Macaca mulatta: one gene and its partners. The protein of the gene in region 3 purifies or fractionates together with the protein of the main gene of each other region. This does not show direct contact. Links are inferred from orthologs where the notes say so. Each region holds a gene or a part of one and is shown on either strand. Other genes may lie near its edges.

The links.
Region 1: the proteins of CDC5L (region 3) and RPA1 purify together in Homo sapiens (affinity purification with mass spectrometry; 3 studies listed by BioGRID, with this or other methods). This does not show direct contact. The link is inferred for Macaca mulatta from reciprocal best matches to the Homo sapiens genes CDC5L and RPA1.
Region 2: the proteins of CDC5L (region 3) and TOP2A purify together in Homo sapiens (affinity purification with mass spectrometry; 3 studies listed by BioGRID, with this or other methods). This does not show direct contact. The link is inferred for Macaca mulatta from reciprocal best matches to the Homo sapiens genes CDC5L and TOP2A.
Region 4: the proteins of CDC5L (region 3) and SF3B2 purify together in Homo sapiens (affinity purification with mass spectrometry; 3 studies listed by BioGRID and IntAct, with this or other methods). This does not show direct contact. The link is inferred for Macaca mulatta from reciprocal best matches to the Homo sapiens genes CDC5L and SF3B2.
Region 5: the proteins of CDC5L (region 3) and BZW1 purify together in Homo sapiens (affinity purification with mass spectrometry; 3 studies listed by BioGRID and IntAct, with this or other methods). This does not show direct contact. The link is inferred for Macaca mulatta from reciprocal best matches to the Homo sapiens genes CDC5L and BZW1.
Region 6: the proteins of CDC5L (region 3) and RBMX purify together in Homo sapiens (affinity purification with mass spectrometry; 3 studies listed by BioGRID and IntAct, with this or other methods). This does not show direct contact. The link is inferred for Macaca mulatta from reciprocal best matches to the Homo sapiens genes CDC5L and RBMX.
Region 7: the proteins of CDC5L (region 3) and GCN1 purify together in Homo sapiens (affinity purification with mass spectrometry; 3 studies listed by BioGRID and IntAct, with this or other methods). This does not show direct contact. The link is inferred for Macaca mulatta from reciprocal best matches to the Homo sapiens genes CDC5L and GCN1.

Annotation. Positions count from the first base shown.
Region 1 is NC_133421.1:3,376,968-3,381,972, reverse strand, and holds the start of RPA1 (replication protein A 70 kDa DNA-binding subunit), read right to left. Parts: upstream 3,190-5,005; 5' UTR 3,101-3,189; coding exon 3,068-3,100; exon of another isoform or gene 3,060-3,067; intron 1-3,059. UniProt on the Homo sapiens protein: As part of the heterotrimeric replication protein A complex (RPA/RP-A), binds and stabilizes single-stranded DNA intermediates that form during DNA replication or upon DNA stress.
Region 2 is NC_133421.1:64,783,906-64,788,143, reverse strand, and holds part of TOP2A (DNA topoisomerase 2-alpha), read left to right. Parts: intron 1-883; coding exon 884-976; intron 977-1,584; coding exon 1,585-1,699; intron 1,700-1,804; coding exon 1,805-1,926; intron 1,927-3,027; coding exon 3,028-3,176; intron 3,177-4,238. UniProt on the Homo sapiens protein: Key decatenating enzyme that alters DNA topology by binding to two double-stranded DNA molecules, generating a double-stranded break in one of the strands, passing the intact strand through the broken strand, and religating the broken strand.
Region 3 is NC_133409.1:137,702,330-137,706,567, forward strand, and holds part of CDC5L (cell division cycle 5-like protein), read right to left. Parts: intron 2,306-4,238; coding exon 2,161-2,305; intron 204-2,160; coding exon 15-203; intron 1-14.
Region 4 is NC_133419.1:8,353,454-8,357,691, forward strand, and holds part of SF3B2 (splicing factor 3B subunit 2), read right to left. Parts: intron 4,033-4,238; coding exon 3,817-4,032; intron 3,661-3,816; coding exon 3,523-3,660; intron 3,347-3,522; coding exon 3,266-3,346; intron 3,080-3,265; coding exon 2,852-3,079; intron 2,297-2,851; coding exon 2,147-2,296; intron 870-2,146; coding exon 780-869; intron 668-779; coding exon 560-667; intron 1-559. UniProt on the Homo sapiens protein: Component of the 17S U2 SnRNP complex of the spliceosome, a large ribonucleoprotein complex that removes introns from transcribed pre-mRNAs.
Region 5 is NC_133417.1:105,914,957-105,919,194, reverse strand, and holds part of BZW1 (eIF5-mimic protein 2), read right to left. Parts: intron 2,894-4,238; coding exon 2,717-2,893; intron 2,568-2,716; coding exon 2,473-2,567; intron 1,910-2,472; coding exon 1,844-1,909; intron 1,140-1,843; coding exon 1,004-1,139; intron 278-1,003; coding exon 168-277; intron 43-167; coding exon 1-42. UniProt on the Homo sapiens protein: Translation initiation regulator which represses repeat-associated non-AUG (RAN) initiated translation probably by acting as a competitive inhibitor of eukaryotic translation initiation factor 5 (EIF5) function.
Region 6 is NC_133426.1:143,215,693-143,218,975, forward strand, and holds the end of RBMX (RNA-binding motif protein, X chromosome), read right to left. Parts: intron 3,165-3,283; coding exon 3,050-3,164; intron 2,962-3,049; coding exon 2,836-2,961; intron 2,749-2,835; coding exon 2,666-2,748; intron 2,030-2,665; coding exon 1,719-2,029; 3' UTR 963-1,718; downstream 1-962.
Region 7 is NC_133416.1:127,488,601-127,493,408, forward strand, and holds the start of GCN1 (stalled ribosome sensor GCN1), read right to left. Parts: upstream 3,370-4,808; 5' UTR 3,354-3,369; coding exon 3,336-3,353; intron 1-3,335. UniProt on the Homo sapiens protein: Ribosome collision sensor that plays a key role in the RNF14-RNF25 translation quality control pathway, a pathway that takes place when a ribosome has stalled during translation, and which promotes ubiquitination and degradation of translation factors on stalled ribosomes.

The DNA of each region.
Region 1 (5,005 bases), on a different chromosome or scaffold from region 3:
AAAAAAAAAAAAGGTACAATTTACTATATGTAAGTGAAATGTCAATGACAGTGATTTTTCTAAAAAGCAGTTATTTCTGTGGAATAGAAGTGGACAAGGTAGGGCAGAAGGTCAGTAATTACATTAAACACCTCTTTCTTTCTTCTTTATAAATGAAATAGAGACAGGATCTTGCTATGCTGCCCAGCCTGGTATCAAACTCCTTCTTGGCCTCAAGGGATCCTCCTGCCTTAGCCTCCCCAAGTGACATTAACACATGTGAGCCACCATGCCCGGCCATAAACACTTTTCTGTTCCGTTTGATTTTAAAACCACACGCGTATATGAGAGGAATTGAAAAAGTACATGAAAAATGTGCATTATGAAAAAACTATCCATGCATTTCAAAAATATTTTGCACTGAAATAAACTCATACTAACTTGTTATAACGTGTCTGAACAAGATCTAGTGTGAGGCACTAAGAAGGATTAGACATCAATTTGAAAAGAGTCCCATGGGAGCAACACGAATTCTGCTAAAATGGAAGCAACAATGAACACCAAATTCAAGGTGAAGCTTGGGTGGAAGAAGGGTGAAATCACCAATGCTTTATGAAAGAAAAGTATATGGGGACAATGCTCCCAAGAAACCAGCTGTTTACAAATGGATAACTCGTTTTAAGGGACAAGGCCAGGCACAGTGGCTCATGCCTATAATCCCAAAGACTTGGGAGGCAAGGCAGGAGAACTGTTTGGAGGCCAAGAGTTCGAGACTAGCTTAGGCAAGATGGTGAAACCCCATCTCTACACAAAATTAAAAAAAAAAAAATTAGCTGGGCACGGTGGCATGCACCTGTAGTCCCAGCTACTCGAGAGGTTGGGGTGGGAGGATCACTTGAGCCCAGGAGTTAGAGGTTGCAGTGAGCTATGATCGTACCACTACACTCTAGCCTGAGAGACAAAAAACGAGACTGTCATTTAAAAAAAAAAGACTACGGCCCGGTGCAATGGCTCAAGTCTGTAATCCCAGGACTTGGGGAGGCCGAGGTGGGCAGATCACTTGAAGACAGGAGTTCAAGACCAGCCTGACCAATATGACAAAACCTCGTCTCTACTAAAAATACAAAAATTAGCTGGGCGTGGTGGCACACGTCTGTAATTGGGAGGCTGAGGCAAAAGAATCGCTAGAACCCGGGAGGTGGAGGTTGCCACGAGCCGAGATCGCGCCTCTGCACTCTAGCCTGGGCAACAGAGTGAGATCCTGTCTAAAAAAAAAAAAAAAAAGAAAAGCCCTAGTAAGTATACAAAGCGACAAAATGTAATACTCAAGGGCACATATGTTCGGCCAGGCGAGGTGGCTCATGCCTGTAATCCCAGCACTTTGGGAGGCCGAGGCAGGAGGATCATGAGGTCAGGAGATCGAGACCATCCTGGCTAACACGGTGAAACTCCATCTCTACTAAAAATACAAAAAATTAGCTGGGCATGGTGGCGGGCGCCTGTAGTCCCAGCTACTTGGGAGGCTGAGGCAGGAGAATGGCGTGAACCCGGGAGGTGGAGCTTGCAGTGAGCCGAGATCCTGCCATTGCACTCCAGCCTGGGCGCCTGGGCGACAGTGCGAGACTCCGTCTCAAAAAAAAAATGTTCAAATGCCCCATGGAAGAAGGGAGGAGTATGAAAAATACCAGAAATCTAAATGTAAAAAAAAATGTGGGGGTGACTGGAGAGTAGGCTGAGAGTATGCTGTGGATGGGAATGGTGGCAGGAACGTATGCTGAGTGGAAGTGAACAGCCCAGGCAAAAAAAAAAAAAAAAAAGATGGTGCCAGTATGGATGGAAAGAAGCCGGTGGGCTTGGTAGATCTACGCGGAGGTACAATACACTTCGCTTGGTGAGGAACTGGACGCCCAGGTGATGGACAATGTAGGAGGAATGATTTCTCAATCTCTGGTTAGCACTGAATTGAACAGATAATGGTACCATTCGTGGAGATAGGGATCAAGAGGCCCAGACTTAGAAAGATAACGAATTTGCTTTGGGATATGTATATTGAACTTAAAAGCCTCTGAAGCATGGAATAAGCAGATAGATTATAGAAGTTTGTCTTTTAGAGTAAAGGTGGCTCAGTACAAAGAAATTTGTCACGCCTGTAATCCCAGCATTTTGGGAGGCCGAGGCGGGCGACACAATGGAGGTCTGGAGTTCGAGATCAGCCCGGCCAACATGATGAAACCCTGTCTCTAATAAAAACACAAAAAAGTAGCCAAGTGTGGTGGCGCACACATGTAGTCCCAGCTACTCGGGAGACTGAGGCAGGAGAATCGCTTGAACCCGGGAGACGGAGGTTGCAGTGAGCCGAGATCGCGCCACTGCACTCCAGCCTGGGCGACACAGTGTGACACTCACACAGTGAGTGTCGCCCAGGCTGGAAGAAAAAAAAAAAAAAGAAATTGCCTTTGGGAGTCAAGAGGGCCTAGAGGGAGCCTTGAGTCAACAAAAATTTACAAAGAGGGGCCTGCAAATAAGACGGGGATAGACCCGCCAAGCTGAGCCACTAAAACCCAAGGAAGAGGGCGTGAGCAGAAGAAGCAGGGCTCAAAAGCAAACGCTGCTGAGAACTCAGGTAAGCTGAAAACGGAAAAGGGCTGGATTTAGCAACTTGGAGGACACTGGTCCCTTGAGCCAGGGTTTTCTACAGCGATCAAGGGGATGCCTGGAGTGGGTTAAAGAGTTGATGAGAGGCGAAGAAAGGAAGTGGCTGAAACCAGACAAGAAGTTTGGCTGCGGGGCAGGAAAGGAGAAGAAACAGAAAGTGGCCGCAGGTGAAAGATCCAGAAAAAGGCAAGCGTTTATTTACTTTGTTCTTAAGTAGGAAAAACGTGAGCGTGTTTCAAAGACGATCAGAAGAATGCTTTGAGGAGGGGGTGATGACACTACACGGGGGCTCGGCGAGTCCCCACCGCCCCCCGCCTTCTCCTCCCCTCGCGTTCATCCCCCGTCGCCCCGGGCTCCCCTCCCCCTCTCCACTCCGCGAGGCTCGGGGCCGCAGCCACCCGCACCGCCGGCCCGGCCCCCGGCACCTCCTCACCGCAATGGCCCCCTCGCTCAGTTGGCCGACCATGGCTCCGCCGCCCCGACTCCCGCGCGGACCCCGCGACAGCTGGAGCTTCCCCACCGGGGTCCCGCGCGCTGCGCAGTTATTGGCCCGAGGAGTTGCGTGCGCCGCTCCCGCCCCCGACGTGCGCGCGGCCCAGGGGCGGGCCCGGGCGCTGCGCAGCCGCCACATTGGCCGAGGCGCGGCGCACGTGACTTGCTCGCGGGCCCAAAGGAGGCCTGGCGCGGAACACGGGGCGCGGGGCGGGGCGCCGAGGGGCGCGCCAGGAGCTGCGCGGGCGCGGGGAGGGAGTCCGCGGCCCAGTTCCGGGCGCCTGTGAGCGGGCTCACGAGGCTTTCTCGCCTCGGTTTCTGGCCAGTGCACGGGTTGGTAGCCCAGAGGAGGTTAAAGCTGTTCCCTGAGACCTCAGCTGCTAAATGGAGTCGCAGCAGTGACCCGGTTCCTCCAGCAACGCGGGGCTGACTTCTCGACCGGGGCCAAACCCTGAGCTTGGCACCGTTGAGGGGGGGGTCTCCGAAGGGGAATCAGACCTGGTCCCTGTCCGTGGAGAAGAGGACAGTGTGTGGGGGCACTTTATGCCGTGAGTAGCCCCAGCGCCAGGTAGACGTGGTACAGGCCCCAAGAGTGTTGGAAATCAGGGAAGCCTTCCCAGAGGACGTGCCGTTTGAACCGAGTCGAAGAACGAACCTGTGGGAATTTTCCAGGTGGACTCCATAAGCCAGGGTAGGATTGGTCCGGAAAGCACGAATAGCCTCTGCCAAAACCTTGGAGAGATGAAATAGCCTGGCAAGCCGGGGATCGCAATGAGTAGTTCAGTATGCAAGGCTGCAGAGGAACAAGTGAGACCTGAGAATTAGAAAGTCAGCCAAGGGTCAAGTAAGGACGGTTTTGTCCTGGGCTTCCTGATATGCTTGGAGTAGCGTTGATGAATTTAAGGCAGAGCACTGACTTCTGTCTCAGTGTTGGAGGCTGGATTGAAAGTTGGGGGGGGTGCCAATGGCATGGACACTAATTATGACACTCTAGGAAGAATGCCAGACGAGATGGTGAGGACTTAAACCGAAGGAATGACCTGGGGGTTGAAAGAGAACGCTGAACTATATGAGAGAGAGAAATACCTGTTAATTGAATAGTTGCTGGGGTGGGTGAGAAAGAAAAATCTGGGGAAGTGTCTCAGGTTTCAGACTTGAGAAACTAGGGGGATCAGGCCGGGCGCGGTGGCTCACACTTGTAATCCCAGCGCTTTGGGAGACCCAGGCTGGAGGATCACCTGAGGTCAGGAGTTCGAGACCAGCCTGGTCAACATGGTGAAACCCCATCTCTACTAAAACTACAAGAATTAGCCAAGAGTAGTGGCGCACTCCGTAATCCCAGCTACTCCGAGGCTGAGGCAGGAGAATTGTTTGAACCTGGGAGGCAGAGGGTGCAGTGAGCCGAGATCGTGCCACAGCGCTCCAGCCTGGGGGACAGAGCAAGACTGTCTCACGCACAAAAAAAAACACTAAGAGGACACGGATGATAGCTATCTAGTCTGCTTCCTCTTTGTATAACCATCACCTGCATGGTGCCTGTCACAAAGTAGTCTTTCAGTAAATATTTCTGAATGGAAGGATGTTGAGTGAATTGCTGTGAGAGAATATAGATCTTTCCTTAGCATGTAAACTAGAGGAAAAGACCACAAGAATTGATTTTATTGCTTTAGGCTTCCTTGAATGAAATCTTGATTTTCCTTTTTTTTTTTTGACACAGAGTCTCCCTCTGTTGCCTAGGTTGGAGTGCAATGGTGTGATCTCAGCTCACTGCAACCTTGGCCTCCCCAGTCAAGTGATTCTCTTGCTTCAGCCTCCAGAGTAGCTGAGACTACAGGCGTGCGCCACCACACCCGGCTAATTTTTTTGTATTTTTGGTAGA
Region 2 (4,238 bases), on a different chromosome or scaffold from region 3:
ATCCCAGCACTTTAGAAGGCTAAGGTGGGTGGATCACAACGTCAGGAGATTGAGACTATCCAGGCTAACACAGTGAAACCCTGTCTCTACTAAAAATACAAAAGAAAAAACAAAACAAAGCAAAAAAAAACATTGGCCAGGCGAGGTGGCGGGCGCCTGTAGTCCCAGCTACTCTGGAGGCTGAGGCAGGAGAATGGTGCAAACCCGGGAGGCGGAGCTTGCAGTGAGCCGAGATTGCGCCACTCACTGCACCCCAGCCTGGGCGACAGAGCAAGACTACGTCTCAAAAAAAAAAAAAAAGAAAAGAAAGGTCGGGCGCAGTGGCCCACGCCTATAATCCTAGCACTTTGGGAGGCCGAGGCAGGCGGATCACCTGAGCTTGGGAGTTCGAGACCAGCCTCACCAACATGGAGAAACCCCGTCTCTACTAAAAATACAAAAAATTATCCAGGCGTGGTGGGGCGCGCCTGTACCCCAGCTACACGGGAGGCTGAGGCAGGAGAATCACTTGAACCCGGGAGGTGGAGATTGTGGTGAGCCGAAATCGCACCATTGCATTCCAGCCTGGGCAACAAGAGTGAAACTCTGTTTCAAAAAAATACAAAAATACAAAAATTAGCTGGGCGTGGTGGCAGGCAACTATAATCCCAGGGGCTGGTGAGGCTGAGGCAGGAGAATCGCTTGAACCTAGGTGGCGGAGGTTGCAGTGATCCGAGATGATACCATTGCACTCCAGCCTGGGCAAGACAGCAGTAACTGTCTCAAAAAAAAAAAAAGGAAAACAGGATTTTTGTTGTTTTTCTGTTGTTTGTTCCTTCTTTGTAGAAGGATATTTTGGAGCCTATTAGTATCACTGACATCTTTTTCATCCTTTAATTTATAGGCCTTTAGCAAAAAACAGATAGATGATCGAAAGGAATGGTTAACTAATTTCATGGAGGATAGAAGACAACGAAAGTTACTTGGACTTCCTGAGGTAAAAGTATTAAATATATCCCACAGAATGGACTGTTAGACTGACCTTTTTGTATTGATACTATAGCAAATTAAACTTACTGAATAGTTATTTTAGTAAAAAATTTGATATGATAGAATTGTGCAGCAGTTAAATTTGCTTTATCTTTAAAACATAAAATATTTATGTATTATTCAATATTTCTTTAAGACTTGGCCGGGCGCGGTGGCTCAAGCCTGTAATCCCAGCACTTTGGGAGGCCGAGACGGGCGGATCACGAGGTCAGGAGATCGAGACCATCCTGGCTAACATGGTGAAACCCCGTCTCTACTAAAAATACAAAAAACTAGCCGGGCGTGGTGGCGGGCGCCTGTAGTCCCAGCTACTCGGAGGCTGAGGCAGGAGAATGGCGTGAACCTGGGAGGCGGAGCTTGCAGTGAGCCGAGATCACGCCACTGCACTCCAGCCTAGGTGACAGAGCGAGACTCCGTCTCAAAAAAAAAAAAAAAAAAAAAAAAAAGACTTAAGAATTACAGAAATAATTCTTAGTTCTGAAAGGTTTCTGTTTGATTTTTGTGTTGAGCATTGTTAAGACTGGTGGTCTCATGTAATACTATTTGGTCCTTCAGGATTACTTGTATGGACAAACTACCACATATCTGACATATAATGACTTCATCAACAAGGAACTTATCTTGTTCTCAAATTCTGATAACGAGAGATCTATCCCTTCTATGGTGGATGGTGAGTTCCAATTTGTTCGTCTGTTTTCATTGTAAGATGGAAATCAAATTCCAAAAATGGTTAAATTGAAGATACTTATGTTTTTGCTCTTATTTCATTTTAAAGGTTTGAAACCAGGTCAGAGAAAGGTTTTGTTTACTTGCTTCAAACGGAATGACAAGCGAGAGGTAAAGGTTGCCCAGTTAGCTGGATCAGTGGCTGAAATGTCTTCTTATCATCATGGTGAGGTAAACATACAATCCATGTTTCCAGAAAGCATTATGTCAGAAATCCCTGCAGAGTCATTCTCAAAATAGATTTGGTGAAAGTATAAGCTCATATATTCATAGTAAAGAACAAGTTGGTAAAATCTGTCAAACAATAAAACTGCTTGCTCTTTGATTTCTGAAAGTAGTATTCCTGCAGGGATACTCATAAGTCTGCAAAGGTCTACATTAAAAGATACTTAGTATGTTTATTATAACTTTGTGATGTCAAAATTTAGACCTCCACTGATTTGAAAATTGTTATAATAAATTGTGACACATGTATGCATAGAATCAGTGCTATAGCTTCAGTAAAACTGTGTACACTGACACTGAGGAATATTCATGGTCTATTGTCAGGTGAGGAGAAAAAGAGGCAGAACAATAACTAAAAAGGTCTACAAGGATATGTTCCAAATTGTTCACTTTAGTTACCCCTGGGAATTGGAAAAGGCAACTTTCACTTTTTATATGTGTCTGAATTGTTTGACTTTACACCAATGTTTTCTGATTGCTTTTTGCATTAATTAGGTAAAACAGTTTTAAAGCACTAGATTGCCTACAGGTTTCTAGAATTTTAAATATAATGGTTGTCTTGTTGCTTTCAATCAAAATATAGTAGGGATACAATAAATTTTCACCCAACGAACATTTGTTGAATGCCTACCATGTACCAGGTATACAAAGATAAATAAAAATAAAATATGTTCCTTATCCCCAAGATATAACAATTTAGCCAGAGGGCCAATACACACACAGCTATAGAATAAAGTGATACATGCTAGAATAGAAATGAGCACAGCATTGTAACACAAAGGAGGAAGTATTTCGTTTTGCTGGGGATAAGGAGAGGAGCTATGCCTTCAAAGTTGAGTGGGACTTAGTAGAAATTGTTGGACGGCAGCCCTAAACTTGGAGCCAGAAGTTGTAGGTTCAAGTACTACTTCTGCCATCTATTAATCTGAGGAAAGTCACTAAACAACTAAACCTCACAAAATGTTACAGGATTATAGTGAGATTAAGTCATAATAATGTATTTGTATTAGTAAAAGCCTCAACTTAATGAATCTTTTTTCCCCACAGATGTCACTAATGATGACCATTATCAATTTGGCTCAGAATTTTGTGGGTAGCAATAATCTGAACCTCTTGCAGCCCATTGGTCAGTTTGGTACCAGGCTACATGGTGGCAAGGATTCCGCTAGTCCACGATACATCTTCACAATGCTCAGGTAGGTATGCTTTCACTTTCACCATTCCAGTTTTGAAACAATGTGAGATTTAGTTGACCAAAAAAACAAAAACTCAGTTAATCAGAAGATACTGGCATCTAGTGGGCAGAGGCGGGGGTGAGGCTTATAAATACCCTAACATATACAGGAAAGCCCCGCCATAACAAAAAGAATTATCCAGCGCAACATGTCGATTATGCTAAGGTTGAGAAATCTTGATGTAGAGCTTGGGACTGAGTAAAGGAGTCTGATTCTTCCTAAATATCACAATTGAAATTTTACTCCTATACAAGCCTATGGAAAGTATATTATGAATGGTCAATTTTCAGCTGTCATCCCAGTCACCCTTTCAGTGGCATTCAAACAGTTACTAATCACTCCATCCTTCTTGAAACTATTTGGCCTCTATGACTGTAGACTCTATGACTGTAGACTCTTCTGGTTCTCTCTTTCCTTATTAGCTGTCTCTGCTGGGTCCTTGTCACCTTCCCAACCTCTAAATACTGGCCCATTCTAGGACTCCTTCGTCAGATCTCTTTCCAATATCTCTACACTCAATTCCCAAATGATCTCCCATTCATCTGGTCTATACCTTTAAATCTCCAGTCCTGATCTCTCCCCTGAACTCTCAACTTTTATGTCTGACTGCCCTCTTAACATTTGCCACTTGGATATCTAGTTAAGTATCTCAAACATAAGTCTAAAACCAAATCCTTAGTTTTCCTGTCTCAGTAAATGGAATACCATCCTTCTAACTGCTCAGGCTAAAAACCTTGTCACCTTTGACTCCTTTGCTCGATACTTACGTCCAGTTCCTCAGCCAATCCTATAGGATCTGCATTGGAAAAATACTAAGCCACCCCCATCTCATCTAAACTATTGTAATATACCATTTTATAGCAGCCAATTATTTTTTTAAAAAATAAGTCACTCTGATTCAGAACCTTCAACTGCTCAGAGTAAAATCTAAAGACCTATTTTAGCTAACTAGACATTATGTGATCCGTGTCCCCACCTTCCATATCTTTTGATTCCTTCTCATACCATCTCTTCTCCAGCCAC
Region 3 (4,238 bases):
ACGTGACACCTTACCTGCAGAATTCTGTCCTGGGAAGCTGGTGTTCGTGGTGTTCTAAGAGCAATGCTGTTGTTGGTGACATTGTACTCAGACAAAAGTGTACTGGAAGCAGAGTTTGTTATGCCAGATTCCTCGGCAGTTTGACGTGCAATTTCACTCGCTTGGCCTACTTTTACAACTTCCTGGAGTTCTGCATCTGAAATCTAAAAGGACACAATTATAGTAAGCAACATTTTAACTGAGGCCGGGCACAGTGGCTCACACTTGTAATCCCAACACTCTGGGAGGCCGAGGAGGGCAAACTGTTTGAGCCCAGGAGTTCGGGACCAACCTGGGCAACACAGCAAAACTGTCTTTTAAAAAAAAAAAAAAAAAAAAACCCTATTTTAACTGAGAGCTGACACATCTTTAAATTTCCACATTCCAGAAAAACGAATTGCTAAAGCTGTGTGATTAGTATCAGGGGTTCTCGGTAGTACTCATCTTTTTTGTGGCTTTGAAAGTTTCCATAATATAGCTTTAGAAAGTCTTCCTTACAGAATGTGAGGGGAAAATTCACATTTGATATAAAATCAAGCTACAAAGGCTGTATCTCTATACTGAAATTCTTTCAAATCAACGTATCAATGTACCAAGAATGTAAAATAGCAGTATTTATACAAAATTGGAGGAGGAAGACTGAAAACCAATTAAAATATCACACAGAAATACTCCAGTGAGCCACAAGATCCCTAAGAAAATCTAAAGGTGTTGTGTTAGTAATTTTACCAAAATAAATATCCTAAGGTGTACTAAGAAAAAAATTAAAGACAAAATTTCAATTTAATAAATATCCCCACTAGGAATGTCAGGATACGACAAAATTAGTTTATGCCCAAGAATCTTGTGTTGATGCAGCCAATGTGCTCACAGGGGGAAAGAGTTCTTCTGGTCTCCTAAGTCCTTTCTTCTGCACCATTAAATCTGTCCAATTCTACAAAGCTGTACTACTCAAAACAGAAAAAAAAGAAGGTTAGCTAGGCACAGTGGCTCACACCTGTAATCCCAGCACTTTGGGAGGCCGAGGCAAGTAGATCATGAGGTCAAGAAATCGAGACCATCCTGGCCAATATGGTGAAACCCTGTCTCTACTAAAAACACAAAAATTAGCTGGGCATGGTGGCGCACGCCTGTAGTCCCAGCTACTTAGAAGACTGAGGCAGGAGAATCACTCGAACCCGGAAGGCAGAGGTTGCAGTGAGCCTAGATGGCGCCACTGTACTCCAACCTGGCGACAGAGCGAGACTCAGTTTCATTAAAAAAAAAAAAAGGTTACTCTAAGGTCCCATGTTTCTGATCAACTAGAATAAGTAAAAAGAAAACAGCCTGTAACAAGCTGAATGAAAGAATGTTTGTATCTTTTCTCCACAACTCCTACATTGATTTTCGTAACTGTTGTCTCAAAAAAGACAAGCAAAACACAACAAAACACTCCCTGGGAGAAGGTAGCTTAAAGTCCACAAAGCCAAACCACACCTTTACCCTTGTCAGCTACAAAAAAGAAGCCTAAAATCCTAACCTGTTGACAAAATGTTAAGAGCTGACGATTACTTACCAAACCATCATATGAGCAGTTTAAGACCTGATACAATAATTTATACAGAGAAGCTGAAGCTATCTTATCATACTATATCACAATTACTTGTGGGTTTTTCTTTTTCTTTTTTTTTTTTTTTAGACAGAGTCTCACTCTGTCACCCAGGCTGGAGTGCGGAGGCACGATCTTGGCTCACTGCGACCTCCACCTCCAGGGTTCCAGTGATTCTCCCGCCTCAGCCTCCTGAGTAGCTGGGATTACAGGTGTGTGCCACCACGCCCAGCTAATTTTTGTATTTTCAGTAGAGACAGGGTTTCACCACACTGGGCAGGAACTCCTGTTGTCTTGAACTCCTGACCTCAGGTTATCTGCCCATCCTGGTCTCCCAAAGTGCTAAAATAACAGGCGTGAGCCACCGCAGCCAGCCCACAATTACTTGTTTTTATGTGTGTCTTACCCATTAAACTGTGAATTTCTTAAGAGCATCCAGCACAAACCTGGCACACAGGCCTTCAAACATTTGCTGAATAAATGATATAAGCATATAAATTCACATAGTGAAAAATTTGCTTTTATCAGATTACCTGAGGGGCAGGAAGTACTAGTTTGCTTCTCTTTTTAGTAAATTCAGAAACACCACTAGTTTGAAGAATAGCTGATGGTAAATCAGATTCTTTTTTCCTTTTCAAATGCTGTTTGTCTTTTTTTCTATCTCTTCCTTCTTTTTCACTGTCATGGATCAAGGTAGAAAAGACATTTGTAAGTTACATATAGGCAAAAACATTAAAATTCATACAAATACTCATACCCTTTGAACAAACCAACCTCATTTCTAAGAAAATAACTAAAAAAGCCGGGTGCAGGGGCTCACGCCTGTAATCCCAACACTTTGGGAGGCCAAGGTGGGTGGATTACCTGAGGTCAGGAGTGCGAGACCAGCCAGGCCAACATGGCGAAATCTCGTCTCTACTAAAAATACAAAAATTAGCCAGGCGTAGTGGCGTGTGCCTGTAATCCCAGCTACTCGGAGGCTGAGGCAGGGGAATCACTAGAACCTGGGAGGTGGAGGTTGCAGTGAGCTGAGATCCTGCCACTATACTCCAGCCTGGGCGATAGAGAAAGACTCCATCTCAAAAAAAAAAAAGAAAAGAAAAGAAAAGAACTAAAAAAAGGCAAAAACAATATGCATTAAGTGGTCCCCTACACCATTACTTACTATATTCAAGATAAAAGCAAACTCAGAATAGCAATAAAATTATTAATAACATACCCTAAGTAATTGAAGTACTAAATATTAAAACATATAAGTATGAAGACTGTGATAAGCAAAACATTCCACATAATGTCAAAAGAAAAACTATTCCTATATTATGAACATTCAATGAAAATGTGTGTGCACATAGGAAAAAGTATGACAAGTATGTAAAAAGGACAATGTGTATGAAAGAAATAATATTAAAATATAGTATTTAAATTTCCCTTTAAAACTTACTAAATTGTCATGATTCTTAAAATTCACAAGTTTTTTAAAAAGGCTGTTTTAATACTGACAAGCAACATCTAAACATGATTAAGACGCCTAAAGACAGGCTCGAAGCAGTCTTTCAAAGCTCCAGGAATACCTCCTCCCCTTCTGCGTCTTTCTTGCCTCCCCCACTTAGTACTCCTTCCAAATCAATAGTTTTCCTGTTCCGTCTCTTTACTTGTACAGCCTACCTAAAGCAAAGTCCTAATTTGAGGAATAAATACAATGGAGTACATCTAAGAAAATCCTATTTTACAATGGCCGATAGCTGTTGTTTTGTAACAATTCATATCAACAGAAATTAAAGGTCAACAGAGCAGAAAACTTTTAAAAATCCTTGACAACCATAAAATACTTTCCCTACAATATTCAGATATGAGATTTAAAGAAACTAAAATTCTCAAGAAATAGGGAAAATCTGCTATCTTCTAAAACATAAAGATTTTATAAAAGTGTATCTATCCCATCAAGTGAAAGGATCAGTAGTTTTTTCTTTTAATTTCATCTTAATAAAAACAAAATTTTTCACTAGAAAAGACTAAAAGGGCCAGGCGTGGTGACTCACGCCTGTAATCCCAATACTTTGTGAGAGAGGCAAAGGGAGGACAGTTTGAGCCTAGGAGTTTAAGGCCAGCATGGATAATATGGCAAGACCCACCTCTCTACAAAAAATAAAAAATTAGCCAGTCATGGTGGCACACATCTGTAGTCCCAGCTACTTGGGAGGTTGAGGTGGAAGGATCACTTGAGCCTGGGAGGTGGAAGATACAGTGAGCTGTGATCATGTCACTGTACTCTAGCCTGGGTGATAGAGTGAGGCCTTGTCTTAAAAAAAAAACCAAATTTTTTTAAAGACTAAAAAAACCAGACTCAATTTTGACAGATTCCAGCCACCAGTGAAACTAACCTATTCATAAAAGTACCTAAAAGTTAAGAAGTGATTCAAAGAGTAAACAGTCAATTAAGAGTCACGCACTTCAACTTAAGAGCCATAAACAGCATTCTGTGCTAAAAACATGATAGCCAGAGTCCCTGATTTTCTCAGAAAGATGAATCCATTAAATAAATAAAACCATATGTAGGCCACATTGTACTAATAAAAATCTAGACCAGGCACAGTAACTGATGCCTATAATC
Region 4 (4,238 bases), on a different chromosome or scaffold from region 3:
AGACATTCTTGAGATAAAATTATTTCTGATAGATTGAAGTGAAACTAAAAAAAAAAAATTATTTCTTTTCTTTTTTTTTTTTTTAAAGTAGAGATGCGGTTTCACTATGTTGCCCAGGCTAGTCTTAAACTCCTGGCCCCAAGGGATCCTCCCACCTCAGCCTCCCAAAGTGCTGGGATTACAGGTGTTGAGACACCACATCTGGCTAAGATAAAATTATTTCTCTCTGGCCATTCTTATATTCAGAGACATATCTGGAAACACATTCACCAAATAGTGAATTTGGCTATTTCTGAGTGGTAAAATTGTGACTTGCTTTCATCTTTGTACTTGTCAATTCTGACTGAATATTTTATGATGAGCATGTCAGTTTTTTAAAAAACAAAAACCATTACTTGTTTTTTCCACACATACCCATGGTATATGACAAATATTATGTGTCAATAAAAATTTTTTTAAATAAAGAAACACATGGTGGAGTTAGAGAAGGAAAACAAAAAAATCACCTTCCAGTTCAAAAGCAGAAACAGCCAAGAATGAATGAAAGGACAATGCTCACCTCAGGGATGGGAGAGTTCAGCCCAGGGATTTTCAGGTTGGGATACGATGGGGGTGGTCCGTATCGCTGCATGGCAATCAGCCATGGGGGAGGGACCTTGTGGGCATTCTGCAGGAAAAAGAGAACAGGATACCATCTGCCAAACCGTATCCCTGTCACTGCCTTCCGCTCCAATCCCCACCCACTTCGCTGCTTCCCCAGACAGCTAACTGACACTCACTGGTCCTACTGGCATCCCCAAGGAAATCCTTAGCTCATCAGACAGATCTCCTGGCTTCTTCTCCTTCAGTCGTGTCTCGAACTCCTTCCCCTGAGGGAAAAACAGAGCATGCTACATTGCAGACCCAGACACTCAGTGGGAGCACAATGGCAAGAGGACGTGAAAACAAAGGCGAGAAGACCTAACCCACATCAGATATAAAATCCCAGTGAGGGCTACCTGGCTCCCACTCTGATTCTCATCACTTCTTTCCCTGGCCAAAGTCGGGGAAGGAATAAAAACCAGGCCAGACTCCCAGTGCTGTCAATAACCCACTATGAGAACACAGCCAACGTTAGGACCTGCCTTCTCATCTGTAAAACGAGGGCACTCGACAGGATGATCTGCAAAATTCTTCCACCTCATAAATTCCATGACATCAAGGGGACTACGATTTCAAGGATCAGGAAAAAAAAATACCAACTTCTCTACCACCCCCAATATTAAAAGTTTCCTAAAAGCAACTGTCCCTTGGCCCCTCCATCCCTAAACCACCCACCATCATTATCACTTCTAAGACAGGATATGAAGAGTCTATCAGGGAAAGAAGCCACCAGATCTGCATCTCTCCTCCAAATAGGACCTCAATTTAAATTCCATCTCATCCAAGGGTAGTCAATGGGCAATTCTAAGGCTGAGGAACTATTGTAATTGCTTCAGAAGCCCTCCTGGGCCAGGTGCAGTGGTTCATGCCTGTAAACCCAGCACTTTGGGAGGCTGAGGCGGGTGGATCACTTGAGCTCAGGAGTTTGAGACTAGCCTGGGCAACATAGCAAAACCCTGTCTCTACCAAAAATACAAAAAATTAGCTGGGTGTGGTGTGTCTGTGGTCCCAGCTACTCGGGGGGCTGAGATGGGAGGACTGCTTGAGCCCAGGAGGCAGAGGCTACAGTGAAGCAAGATCATACCACTGCACTCCAGCCTGGGTAACGGGTGAGACCTCATATTTAAAAAAAAAAAAAAAAAAAAAAAAAAAAAAGGCCAAGCGCGGTGGCTCACGCCTGTAATCCCAGCACTTTGGGAGGCCGAGACGGGCAGATCACGAGGTCAGGAGATCGAGACCACCCTGGCTAACATGGTGAAACCCCGTCTCGACTAAAAATACAAAAATTAGCCAGGCGAGGTGGTGGGCGCCTGTAGTCCCAGCTACTCAGGAGGCTGAGGCAGGAGAATGGCGTGAACCCAGGAGGCAGAGCTTGCAGTGAGTGGAGATCGCGCCAGTGCACTCCAGCCTGGGCGACAGAGCGAGACTCCGTCTCAAAAAAAAAAAGCCCTAGACAGTCTCAACCCCAAGGCCCGGCCTGACCTCTCCCAGCCCCCTCCCAAACCTCATAGTACAGGTCCCCATGGATGGTCAGCTTTGGCTTGGTCTGCCACTTGAAGAAGGCATCATGCAGTTTCTGGTAGTCGATGTCAATTTTGCCCATCTTAGGCCGAACTTTCTCTCGCATTTTTGACTTCATGGTCTTCTGTTCTTCCTGTAGAGAATGGCAGAAGACAAGCCTTAACAAGTACTCACCAAATTCATGTAGAGAATCCAGCTCCCAACTCCAAAAGAGATCAAGGGAAGCCTCAATTATCTCACCCCGAAAGTCACCAAAATCCTTCCTGCTCAAACCCTTCAAAATTACATAATGCATGCTGAACAAAACAGACTCCACAATATCAGCCTCAGCTGTGTCTATCAATAACTAGTTTTTAACCATCTCATCAAGAGATGAATCTCCTCATTTCTCTGGAAGGCAGAGACATCCCCGTGTTCTTTTGTACCTCCTAAGTTCAGAGCATTTAACTAAAAGCTTTAAAATTAAGAAGTTACACAACCACCATGAATCCCTAGCCACAAAGTGCATCTGAGAAAGGAGTCACCAGGTGAGCTGGCAACGTGAAGGCAGAGGGGAAGAAGAGCAGAGAAGGAAAACAAAAGGATAATTAGACAAGTAACAAGTAGGTGGTAGGTGGGTTTCAACCCATATTCCCATTTTGAAGCACACTGCTGTGAAGGATGGGGACACCCGAGGGCAGGCTCTCACCTTCTCCTGCAGGGCCTCTCGCATCTCCTGGATGCCTGTGCGTTTGATGAAGTCTGGCAGCTCGAAGGGGGGCTTCTCAATACCCCGTTTGCCCTGCAGGTACTTGCGCTTAAAACACCAGTGGCGTGGCACAGGCACGGAGTTCCGAGTGGCCTTGAGGTGAACCAAGAGCTTAGGGTCCTGCGCTGTCACATCGTGCATCTCCACAACATCGGGCCGTGCCACCAGCTGGAAAACACATAGTAATGCATGTTCTTGAGAGCCCTGACTTCTCAGTTCTGAAGCTCTTCTTCCTCAAAGGACCTAAACCCAAATCACTCACACCTCCTTCAAAGAACTCCTTTTCACCTCCCTGGCTCCCCAGGTGGTCTCCCAGCTGGGATCCAGGGCCTGCAGAATACTCTCAGGGCTTACCTGCTTGAGTTCAGCCACAGTGAAGCGGTTCATTCGGCGCAACTTCTTCTTGGACAGCTTGGGGGCTTCTGGCTTCTTTTCCTAGAACAGAACAATCACCTCTTTTGAGCAGGACTCAGATGTGAATGAAACTGCCCAACTCACCCCAAACTTAAGCCCCCAAAGCTCTGCAAGTGTTCACCATGGTCCCTCTCTGGATGCATCTCAGTCACCTGTGCCCAGAGTCCCTGCTTCCCACCAGGAGGGTTGGGCCTGACCTGCTCATCATCACTGCTGTCGTCATCACTGTCCTTGTGCTCCTCTTCAAATCCCTTCTTCTTGGGGGCTGCAGAGTTCTCCAATTTGTCAAGTTTCTCTGGCTCCTTCTCCTTCTCTTTCTTCACATCATCAGTGAGCTGAGGAGGCAGACAAGGTGAAACCCCTGCCCTCTGAGCCCCTTCCCAGTTCCTAAAGCCAGCACTAAAAACATGCCTGTTCACTGCTGCCTCGCACCCACCTCTGAGCCCCTTCCCTGTTTGGCACTGCCCCTTCCGAGCACGCTCTCCTTGTACCTTAAAAGCCTCAAAGATCCTCTTAAAGAAGATAAAGTTGGGCTCGTAAATTTCAGGTTCTTCAGTCACATACTCAATCTCAACATCAGCTGCTGGGGAGTCAGAGCCACGGGATCGGGTTGAGTCTTTCTCCCGGTCCCCAGAGCTCTCAGAGGACACCCCTCGCACCCGCTGGGGCTTTTTCTTCTTCTTTCGGTTCCTGCGCTTACGGTTTTTCTGTCAGGAGGAGGAAAACCAGCTGGGTCAGGGAATCCAAGTACTGTGCCAGCACCCCAACCCCTAAACTCCTCCCCCGGTCTCCCCCACAGCTCAACGGTCAGGCTTTTCGGAGGCCATCTCATGAAGTGGCTGCGAAGGGGCCTTGGAGGCAGACTCCAAAGTTCTGCCACTCACAAGCTGTGTGCCTTTGGGTAAATTACTGT
Region 5 (4,238 bases), on a different chromosome or scaffold from region 3:
TGTAAAGTGTTCAACACTTTGCTTATTGGCAGGAAAGAGTTCCTAAAAGAAGAATTTATCTGGTTAAACTTTCTTTAAATCAGATTTAACACTTTCTTTTCAGTCTTAAAATGAGAAATTTCTCTCATTTACACCTGCTGGCAAGAATGGGAAGAAAAGTTACAAACCATCAGTCTGTTATCCATGCTGACTTTCCGAAGACTTGCAGCTACTGCATTGATATCTTTTTCGTTTATCCATGATTTAAAGAGCTTTACAGCAAAAGCTGCTGAAACTCCTGTAAAAGAAAATAGCTTACTTAACAGAAGTACCTTCCTGGTTTCAATCACTGTATCCCCCTCTATATCCTTCCCTTCATACTTCAATCACATGGGATTACGGACTTTCCTCACAAACTTAACCCTGAACTTTCCTGGGCCACAGTTTTATCACTTCTCCAATTTCCCTAGTCTACACCATTTGCGAATTGTATATTCTTGGCCAAGTTACTTAAAGTGTTTTCTAAAGTATAAATTGAGGGCAATAGTCTCTACACTTGACAAGGCTGTTGTGAGAATTACACTAAGGCAACTTAAATACTACTGTAAGCAGTTTAAAAAAAGCTTCAAAAAAAAAATTACTGTACAGAATAATCTGACAATTGGAGCCAAACAGGGAGTTGATTTTCCCTTCCAGCTTGACATTTTCCCCAACATCATTTTCTCCAAGTCTCCCTATTGGTATTAATCTCTTCTGGAGTTCCCACAACATTTCTCATTGTATTCGCATTACATGTAACAACATTTTGTCTAAATCTGGTTATCTATTGTATTCCTAAAGAAAACCATTAAACCTGGATGCCAAAGGTATTCATTAAATGTCTAGTGAATTAGACTGAACTTATTAAATTTAAGGCTGGTTAATAAACGAAGACTTTCACAGAAGTCACATCTATGAACAGTAAACCATGCTCTTACCCACCCCACTCTGAGTCAACTAAAGACCATCCTTTAAGGTTGATTACCTTCTTTAACCAAATTCTCATTATAAAGGCTATTAAGAATGGACGCATTAAGTGTTCCATTAGCCAGAAGAACACCAGTCAACATAGCCAGCTTGTTCCTCTCCGACTCTGAAAAACCCTTTAAGAACAGCAGCAGCTGTAAAAAGTAAAACAGTTAAGGGTTAAAACAGCAATTACATTACATTAAGAGAAACAGTAAAGCATGTTACACTGGCTACTGGTTCAACACGTGGGCTCTGGGATCTAACCATCCAAGTTTACATCTAAGCTACAATACTCATTAGCTGAATGATCGGCAAGTTACTCAACCTCTGCACCTCACATGTAAAATGTGGATGATAAAACTTGCCTCACAGGGTTTTTATAAACATTAAGTGAATTAGTATCGAACAGTGCCTGGTCATTGATAAACGCATCAGGTTTTCTGGGCATCTATATGCAATATTGGGCCAGGCGTGCTGGCTCATGCCGATAATCCTAGCACTTTGGGAGGCCGAGGGCAGATAACTTGAGGCCAGAAGTTCAAGGCCAGCCTAGCCAACACGGTGAAACCCTGTCTCTACTAAAAATAGAAAATTAGCCAGGCATGGTGGTACATGCCTGTAATCCCAGCTACTCAGGAGGCTAAGGAACGAGAATTGCTTGAACCCAGCAGGCGAAGGCTGCAGTGAGCAGAGACTGAGCCACTGCACTCCCAGCCTGGGAAACAGAGTGACACTCCAAAAAACCAACCAACCAACCAAACAAAATTACCCCAAATCTGTGGGAGAATTAGGATTTAACATTCCCTCCTTCTAACCCTATTTTTTTCTTTTCCACAAAGTACCTTATTCCTCATACCTTTTTTACTTCATCTTCAAAACCTTTCTCCAGGTATTTGTAGCGCCTGATTAACTTGTTAAAAACCTATGAAGAACATGAAATGAATTCAGTAACTTCATATACTTCTAGAATAGCAAAGTAGTAAACCTTTCACTGGATATAAGTTTATGAGCTGTTTATACCAGCTTGAGAAGAATTTCTAGTGACACATAAGAATGTCCAGGTTAGATGTACTTTAATTCTTTGCTTAAAATAATACAAACATAACTACATATGAAACTTTCCAATGAGATCTTGATTAAAAAGCTAATCAGCTCACAACTTATTTAACTTTAAAAATAAATATATGCAGATAAACTAGAGAAATCACAATACGAAAATGACTTTTTTAGCTTGACATTTTTCTTAAAAATTGAGTAATTTCAGGACAAATAGGAACAGGAGAGTTAATTTCATTTTTCCCTATTTTATTCACCTTAACACATCTTAAGTTTCTAATTCATCCCGTTGCACCAAGAACAGTCTCCCTAAAATTTAAAATCAAATTCCTTCAACTTTCTAACCACAACTCTTAAAAGTAGAATATTCCTCAAATATACCACATGGATAGTAGCTAACTGAAAACAATTATGTTAAGTTTCATTTACCTGAGCAAATGCTTGCATGGTCTCTAGGTCTTCTTGGGCTGCAAACACGCAGACATCTGTACGCATCATGTCATCTGCCAGTGTACCACCTGGGGCTAAAGTTGGATAAAATCAAAATACAACACAAGGAAAAAAATCACTCCATTTTAACAAGTTTGCCAAATAGTTCATATTCTAGAGTCTCCATAATCTCCATACACTATACCTTTCTAAATTATTAAGCCCACAAACCCCAGACACTTACCCAGCATTCCACCAGCCACCAGAATGTCAAAGAGTGTTTCTGCATATCGACGGTAATCAAGTTTTGCTCCAGAAGCATCAAGAAACTTAGCTACTGCTTCCAAATCAGTACCGGTTTCAGTTAAGCCTTGAATAATACAGTCTTGAAACTGAGTAGGGTCAAACCTCTCTTTTTCATCTGGGGAGACAGGAGACCCAAAACATTTAGTTTTAAAAGATTTACCAAAATGTCACAAAACTATCACCTTATGAAGATGTAATTGTTAAACAAGTTAAATTCACATCCTTTACATGTTTCCCCTCTGCAAGTGCAAGACAAGATGGCCCACTCACAAGAACTGTGCAACTTTTCAAACAATTTCACAAGTGAGCTAAATGTGCTAGTGTCTTGTGCTCCTACTGCCATGAGGCAATTTCTACTGGGAATGCCCTCCTACTGCCTCTTGGCTTTTCCAAAATTTAGGCCATCCTCTAACAGATAAATTTTATTACTTTCAGTTTTCCCTGGACACTGGAGCTCTTGATCCTTTTCTTTAAATGTTCATAACAATAAACAACAAAAAAATTGAACCACTCCTTTGGCATTTATGAAGGTGAGCTTTACAAAGTACATTTAATGAACACCCAATATGACAGAAACTATATTAAGCATTTACTTTAATCCTGTTAACAACTTTGTGAGGCAGATTTTTCCTATTATTCAGAAGGAAAACTGAGAGAGAAATTAGGTAATCGAGAGATGATACTGTGTTGTGTAGTAGTTCAGAGCATGGGCTCTGGAGTTAAACTGCCTGATTCAAATCCTGATCACCATTTAACCGCTTGAATTCCAGCAAACAGTCTCATTCGCCATGCCAGAATCCCCCTACTGTAAAATGGGGATAAGAACAGCTATCCCATAAAGCTGTTGTGAATACTACATGACATTAATAAAACAGAAAGCTCCCAGACCATAGCCTTGTGCACATACCTGACCTTTACTGAGTTGCTTTCACACACTCCATAATAGGGTTTTGCTTTCCCAATCTAGGCTAGATGGTATCTTAATTTTCACACAGTACTAGGGTGACAAATACCTCTGTGTGTCCAGCACTTTCCTGGTTTTAGCACTGAAAGTCTTGTGTCTGGAAACTCCCTCAGTCCCAGACAGGGATTGCTGTATACCCTACCCAGTACCCTAACCATCAACAGCCAGGCCATGAATGATCTGTATCTGGAACTGGGGAAGCGACATCTCCCCCAATGCTAATAATAATAATAATGATAAAGCTACTTGCTATTATTTATATCAAGGCAACATCAGTAATCCACATATTCAAGAGATACACTTTCCCATTTTACTGTCAAACTGTTCTAGTTTACAACTGCTCCTTAAGAAAATTTACCAACTAAGGTCGGGCGTGGTGGCTCACACCTGTAATCCCAGCACTCTAGGAGCCCGAGGCGGGCGGATCATAAGGTCAGGAAATCGAGACCATCCTGGCTAACACAGTGAAACCCCGTCTCTACTAAAAAAAAAAATA
Region 6 (3,283 bases), on a different chromosome or scaffold from region 3:
TGGAAGATTCACTGGCTCGGGATGGACTGGAATGGCTTAAATGGTTAAGTTGCATGGCTTATGGATTGTCATTCTGTTCCAATGGTGCACTGCCACGTTAAATCCATAAGTTGAACGAACAAAACTTATTTGAAGGAATAAGTGCAGTATAAGGATTTTTAGTTGGAGGTCTTCAAGTTTACTATATTCAAGAGCATCTTTTTCAACTTCATGGCTGGACCTGGGTCATGGTGCCTCAGGTTTTGCTTTTTAAAGACCACTTGCAATAGATTTTCTCCATACAGTGTAGTTTCATAGAACTAAAAACAAGTCAGGCATCCAACTAAATGTCAAGTTTGCAATGGCTTACAGGGGTAAAAAGGGGGACCCCAAACTTAAGCCATTTCCTATATTGACTAAAAGACTAATTTGAAAAAAATGTTAAAACATATGAAGCATGTTTAAAGGTCTTCATCAAAAATGGACTTTGAAAAAAATACCCCCTCCCAAGCCCCAGATCGCCATTGGTAAACAACAGCTTTATTAATAAAGCCTTTAAGTGTCATACATGCTTAAAAAAAAAAAAAAGAATCCAAGTGTTGAATTTGGAAGACTTCTAATATGCTATTGAATATTTCTTTTCTCCAAAAGTTTTTTTAATCTAGAAGGCATTTCCATTGCCTTGAGGTACAGTATGTTTCACTGTACTATGAGGAAGGTAAGTGTTCAATTTCGACTTAGACGGAAAAACTAGTTTGCTTTGCTTACCATCTTTGCTGTTTCACAGGCATTTGATGCTTTAAATCTGATGTGGAATGCTGATAGATTCACTTTTTAGAAGTCATAAGCCTTTAGGAAGTTGGAGATAACTTCATTGCTTATCTATTTTCTCCTTTGCAATCAAGCTGTTCCTTTAAAAGTGAGACACTACAGAGTTGCAAAAATTTGAAACAGTAAGAGCAAGCACCTTTGCAGCTTCATGGTTGGTTTTGGCCAAACTTTTTATTTAGTATTCTGTAGTTGTTTAACACACACTTAAATGGTCTTATTGGGGGAGGGGAAAGGGGAGGTTCTTGCAGATTCCCAAGGAAATGTGAGAAAGGCAAAATGGCCAGCATTATCCATTTGCTTTTTTGGGTTTACTGGGTGAATAGCACTTTCCTTACACAGGCATGTGATTTCAGGTTTTTCATACTGAGAACATTGAGATTTCAGTTGGAAGACACCCTGAAATCTTATAAGTAGCATACCCCAACCACCCTCTAGTAGCTAGCTTGTTTGTATAGGTAGAATGATTCATCTCTCCATTTTAGATGGCTAGATGTTCTGTGGAAGATCTTAGAATTGCTTGCCTCATTTACTGGGAAAAATCAAGATAGGAAGTGGCCTTTAGGGATACTTTTACTTGGAAAGTTGCAACACTAGTACAAGTCTTAACACATTTAACATTTGCTTGTTGAAAAGCAATGTCATAAAGTCAAATAAAATTAAACATGTTTTACTTTTTGCCTCACAAGAACATTTGCTTGTTGAAAAGCAATGTCATAAAGTCAAATAAAATTAAACATGTTTTACTTTTTGCCTCACAAGAACATAAAAATTATGGAGGGAAACTTAACAGGGCATTTAAAAAATGTAACACAATTTTTCCTTTTAGTAGTCCTTGGGTAGTTATGACAGAATAGTTTCCACTTTTTGTTTCTTTGAACTGGGATTTTGGTCCAAAGTTTTGTTTGTTTCTAGTATCTGCTTCTGCCTCCCCCTCTATCAGATCGGCTTCCTCCACGGCCACCACCTCTTGGTGCTCCGCGGCTTGAACTGCTGTAGGAATCACGTGGAGGAGGGTACCCCCTTTCCATAGAAGGGGGAAGCCCTCTGTCTTGTCTGCCAACCCGATCACGACCACTTGAGTAGAGATCACTTCGGCTGCTTGAGTAACTGTCTCGACTTCCACCATATCCGTCACGTGAGCTGCTGTAATCATCATAGCGACTGCTTCCACCATAAGATGGCGGGGGCCCTCGTGTAGGTGGAGCACTACGTGAGTTACCTGCAGGGTCAATGGTCAGGTAATATGGCAACACTATAAATTGTATATATACAACATTTTAAATCTGAATTTACAGAATTCTTGTATTAAAAGTTTACTTTCTCAACTGGGTGGGAGGTTTTAAACTCTGCCATTGCTGGCCATAACAGGGATTTGCTCATCTGCTGAGATATGGAAATGGATTCATTTTAATGTTTGTTTGAAAAGACTGAAGACGGTGTGTATTTCAAGAGGATATTCCAGAGAGCTTGTTATTTTATAGTAGACACTCAGCCACTTTCCAGTGATAAGTTGCAATTTTGAACTGTAGAACTTGCCTTCATATTGCAATGGTAAATATTTGATCTTGTTAATAAAATTTTTAAATTGTATTTTCACTGTTGGGGGAAAACACATAAGGCTGCCAATTTAAGCAAGCAAAATCCCCTCCAAAGCAAGCAAACAGCCTCAAAAGAAACTTAGAAAAACAAAAAAAAAGCCCCTCACAAAACTAGGAAAAGCCCAGCTGATAAAGTTACCCCTTTAAAAGCAAGCAAACATCCCTTTAAAAAGCAAGCACCACGCAGCCTAAAAAACTGGCTCACGAACCTAAAAACTCAAGCTGGTGATACTCAAGACCCTTAACCAGTATCTTACCATAACTCTCATATGAATCTCTGTAGGAACCTCCACTTGGATGATCTGAATAGTCACGATCACGACCATATCCATCTCTATCGCTAAATTAAAGAGAAACCTTTAAGTCCCAGAGCATCAACTTTTATAGCAACTTTTCTTACATGCAAGCCACAGAAGCAGTCACTTACCTATAGCCTCTTGATGGATAGTCATCACGTGAACTGGAATGACCATAATCACGGTAAGTATAATCTCGTGGTGGTGGTGCATAATCTCTAGTATCACGAGAACTTGGGTAATCTCTGCTTGAATAGCTACAAACACAAAAGTTTTGGTTCATGCTTTTGATAAGCTTTCCTTCAACCTTAATTATTAATTTAAAAAGCTGCAATTTTCTATTACCTGTCTTTAGTAGAATACCCATCATCTCTTGGGGACAAATAAACATCTCTACGAGAGGGCAGTGGCTCCCTTCGAGGTGGACCTCCGTAACTATCTCTTCCACGTGATACAGGAGCTTAAGGAAAATTACATCACTTTTTTTAAACACAGTCAGAGAAAGAAGTTAAAACGTGAACTTACATTCAGGCTATGAAAACGAGACTGACTTCAAAGATGACATTACGGAGGCTAGAT
Region 7 (4,808 bases), on a different chromosome or scaffold from region 3:
GAAACAATGCTGAGTTTTTCATGCTTAAATCCCTGCCATAATTCTATTGGCAACGTCCAAAACTGTCTTCTACGTAAATGATGTATTGTTTTAACTTTAAAATGTCTTTTGTTTTTGGCTGGGTGTGGTGGCTCACGCTTGTAATCCCAGCACTTTGGGAGGCCGAGGCGGGCAGATCACGAGGTCAAGAGATTGAGACCATCCTGGCTAACACGGTGAAACCCCGTCTCTACTAAAAATACAAAAAATTAGCCGGGTGTGGTGGCGGGCACCTGTAGTCCCAGCTACTCAAGAGGCTGAGGCCGGAGAATGGCGTGAACCCGGGAGGCGGAGGTTGCAGTGAGCCAAGATCGCACCACTGCACCCCAGCCTGGGCGACAGAGCAAGACTCCGTCTCAAAAAAAAAAAAAAAAGTATTTTGTCATAGATACACATAAGTCAAAACCAAAAAGTTCTGAGAGGTCTGCCATAAAAACCAGTCCCTTGCCCTCACTCTCCATGGACAACCCTTAGGTTGATCTAGTGGGTATTTGGGTAGTTACCTCCATATATCTAAGTATCTCTAACTATGGAGGTAACTTGCGTGAGCTTCTTGATTTTTCAGTTTTGCTACCTTTCCACCACAGCTCCCTTTCCTGCTCTGACCCCATCGCACACTCTCCCCATTTCCCCAGTGGAAATCCCCAGTTTCATGATATAGGCTAGGTAAGTAGTCAGTGATTACATTATATGTAAAGGGCATTCAACATCCATTTAATAAACTCTTATTCTTCCCAGCTTTTTTATGTCCCTGGTGTTAATAATTACCCTTTCCCACCATGCTTCAGTTTGCCTTTTTTTTTTTTTTAATCTGTTCTTTTTTTTTTTTGAGACGGAGTCTCGCTCTGTCGCCCAGGTTGGAGTGCAGTGGCCTGATCTCAGCTCACTGCAAGCTCCGCCTCCCGGGTTCACGCCATTCTCCTGCCTCAGCCTCCCGAGTAGCTGGGACTACAGGCGCCCGCCACCTCGCCCGGCTAGTTTTTTGTAGTTTTAGTAGAGACGGGGTTTCACTGTGTTCAGCAGGATGGTCTCGATCTCCTGACCTCGTGATCCACCTGTCTCGGCCTCCCAAAGTGCTGGGATTACAGGCTTGAGCCACCGCGCCCGGCCTAAATCTGTTCTTATAAATAATTAAACCCCAAGCTTTTTGCCATTTGTCTAAATCTCAGTACATTTAGTCAGATCAGGTATTCCATCAAATTCCACCTTCCTAAGGAAATCTCTCCCAGTTTTCTGACCTGCCCCAATTAGGCATGTGATCCTCTACAGCTGGGGCACAGTTTATCACCCTGAACATGTACTTTCTTGTGTTTAGGTGAAGCACATCCTCCATTTTGTAAACTCCTTGCAAGTATGAAAATGTTCTGGCCAAATACAGAATTCTAGGTTGAAATCCTTTTCCTTTAGAATACTGAAGACAAGGTCAGGCACGGTGGCTCATGCCTGTAATCCCAGCACTTTGGGAGGCCGAGGCAGGCAGACTGCTTGAGGTCAGAACTTTGAGACCAGCCCGCCCAACATGGTGAAACCTGTCTCTACAAAAACTACAAAAATTAGCCGGGCGTGGTGGCGCATGCCTGTAATCCCAGCTACTCGGGAAGCTGAGGCAGGAGAATTGCCTGAACCTGGGAGGCGGAGGTTGCAGTGAGTTGAGATTGTGCCATTGCACTCCAGCCTAGAGAGGAATTCCATCTCAAAAAACAAAATAAAATAATCTCAGGCCGGGCATGGTGACTCGCCTGTAATCCCAGCACTTCGGGAGGTCAAGGCGGGAGGATCACCTGAGGTCAGGAGATCGAGACCAGCCTGGCCAACATGGAGAAACCCCCCTCTACTAAAAATACAAAAATTATAAAATACAGAAACATTATCATGCATCACCCAATGCAGTAGCTACTGGCTACATGCAGCTAACTGTGCACTGAAATGTGGCTGGTAGAAGTGAAGAACGAATTTTTTTTTTGTTTTTTTTGAGACAGAGTCCCCGCTCTTGTTGCTCAGGCTGGAGCGCAGTGGCGCAATCTTGGCTTACTGCAACCTCTGCCTCTCGGTTCAAGCGATTCTCATGCCTCAGCCTCCTCAGTAGCTGGAATTACAGACATGCACCACCACACCCGGCTAATTTTTGCATTTTTAGTAGAGACAGGGTTTTGCCATATAGGTCAGGCTGGTCGAAAACTCCTGACCTCAAGGGTGATCCATCCACCTCGGCCTCCAAAAGTGCTGGGATTACAGGGTGAGCCACCACGCCCAGCCAAAAACTGAATTTTTTTATTTCATTTAATTTTAACAAACTTAAGTAGCCATGTGGCTGCCATACTGGACATTGCAGCTCTAGAGAAGATTCTTCCTCAAGTATCAGTGTTAAATATTCAGCATGTATTCCCCTAACCCGCTCATACTAAGCTTTTCTTTCTAGGATTCAGCACGCATACCAGAGTCTCAATAAATGTCTTTTTGAATGTTCAAGTTAAGTGGTCATTTTCTGGGCCTACTCATAAAAATCAATCCCATCACCCTGGAGACCCCAAATCAGCCCAGCTGTCCTTTACACACCTGTTTTTCCCCTGCCCCATAACAATGTCTTTTCACCTTAAAACATAACCACAACTGGGTGGAGGAAAAGGTTTTCCCAAGTCCTTCCTGAAGTACAAGGTACCCACAGGTAACACTCAAGGGTGACAAGACTCTTCCTGGGCAGGACACAGTTCTTTTCACTAACCCTGTATCTGATATCAAGCCCTATTTTATCTCACTGAACCTTCACAACAACCTTTTAAGATAAGTATTGTTTTAACCTCATTTTATAGATGCAAAGGCAGACTTGGCGGGGTTAAGCCACTTGTTTTGCATGTCACAGAAATCGACGAGCAGGAACTCAAGCCCAGATCTGTATGAATCCAAAGTCTACACTCAAAGAACATCTGCTGAATACAAAGTTTAACGAAGACTTGGCGTTGGCCCGGGGCTCACAGCGGAGGGGTTTGGAGAGAAGAAGCAGAGGCTCGGTAAAGTGAACTTTTGCAACTCCGGGGTCGGGCAAAGGCCCCGCCGAGCTCCAGCTGCCGAAATCGAGAGGGGAGCCCCGGACTCCTCGAGCTCGCGGTCTGCCTGCGCCGCCCCGGCCGGGCCAAGCCCGCAGCCGTGAGAGTCCGGCCTGAGACGGCCCCGAGACTACGCCCTCCACGGCCACCACCCCCAGCGCCCCTAAACCGAGGAGCGAGAGCGGCCCCACCCGACGGCCACCATCCGCACCCAGTCCCTGGCCCCGTTGGCCCCGCAGCCGCCCGCCTCACCTGCGTGTCCGCCGCCATCCTGCCGGGGCTGACTCCGGAACCGCTTCCGGAGCTCTTCCGGGTCACAGCGAGGCCCACGCGGCAGGGCGAGGCCGGTAGACAGCTGGGGCAGGGCCCCGGGTTGGCGCCACCGGGCGGGACGGCGGCCGCTGCAGCCCGGGCAGCCGGATCACGGGCTTGAAGTTGGCCCGCGCCGGAGCCACAAGGCCTCCTCCCCAGGGCCCTCTCTTCAGCCCCAGGCGCCTCGTGGGAGACTAGCGCTTGTAACGTGGTGAGCCCGCGTGTGTAACGCTATGAGCCCGCCTTGCAGCCCCTGACCCACTTCCAGCCCGCAGGGCCAGCCTTACATGGGCCTTTCCTGAGGGATGACTACGTTCTTTAGAAAAACAAGTGTTGCTTCCTAGATAGCAGGAACTAAAAACTAGGTAAAAGAGTCAGCGAACTAGTCTTTTGTCCTCAGTTTGTAGTTCAGTTGACGGATGACTTGTACAGGGTTAGCAAACATGGGTAGATACGGAGATCAGGGAAGGTTCAGAACTGAAGGAGGCCCCTGCCCTGGGGAAATGCTGGATGCCCCAGGCTGGGAGTTTTGAAGCAGGAGGCTACTTGCAGATGTGGCTGCAATTTAGAGAATAGGGTCCTCACAGCTTAGTTGTCGGCCCTGTTAGCAGTGACTTTCAAACCTTTGACACAGACCTAGTTAGAATGAACATACCATGTTCCGACAGACAGATCTGCAAGTGAAATACAGGAATCACAACAAAGCACCTGTTCTCAGCAGATGCTTTCTCTTTAAATACTGGGGGCAAGCATGGTGGCACACGCCGCAATCCCAGCACTTTGGGAGGCTGAAGTGGGTGGATCAACCTGATGTCAGGATTTCCAGACCAGCCTTGTCAACAGGACTCTCTACTGTCTCTACTAAAAATACCAAAAAAAAAAAAAAAAAAAAAGCCAGGTGCAGCGGCTCACGCTTGTAATCCCAGCACTTTGGGAGGCCGAGGCAGGCGGATCACAAGATCAGGAGTTCAAGACCAGCCTGGCCAACATAGTGAAACCCTGTCTCTACTAAAAATACAAAAATTAGCCAGGTGTGATGGCACATGCCTGTAGTCCCAGCTACTTGGGAGGCTGAGGTGGGAGAACAGCTTGAACCTAGGAGGCAGAGGTTGCAGTGAGCTGAGACTGCCATTGTGCTCCAGCCTGGGTGACAGAGTGAGACTGTCTCAAAAAAAAAAAAACCAAAAAAAAAAAAAAAATTGCCAGGTATGGTGGCAGCTGCCTGTGGTAATTCCAGCGTCTTGGGAGGCTGAAGCAGGAGAATCGCTTGAACCCAGGAGGCGGAGGCTGCATTGAGTGAAGACCAAGCCACTGCACCCCAGTCTGGGCAACAGGGTGAGACTGTCTCAAAAATACAAACTGTTCACCACCTACTGAGTTGGAGCACCATCCAGTTTGAAAAACTGCTCTATG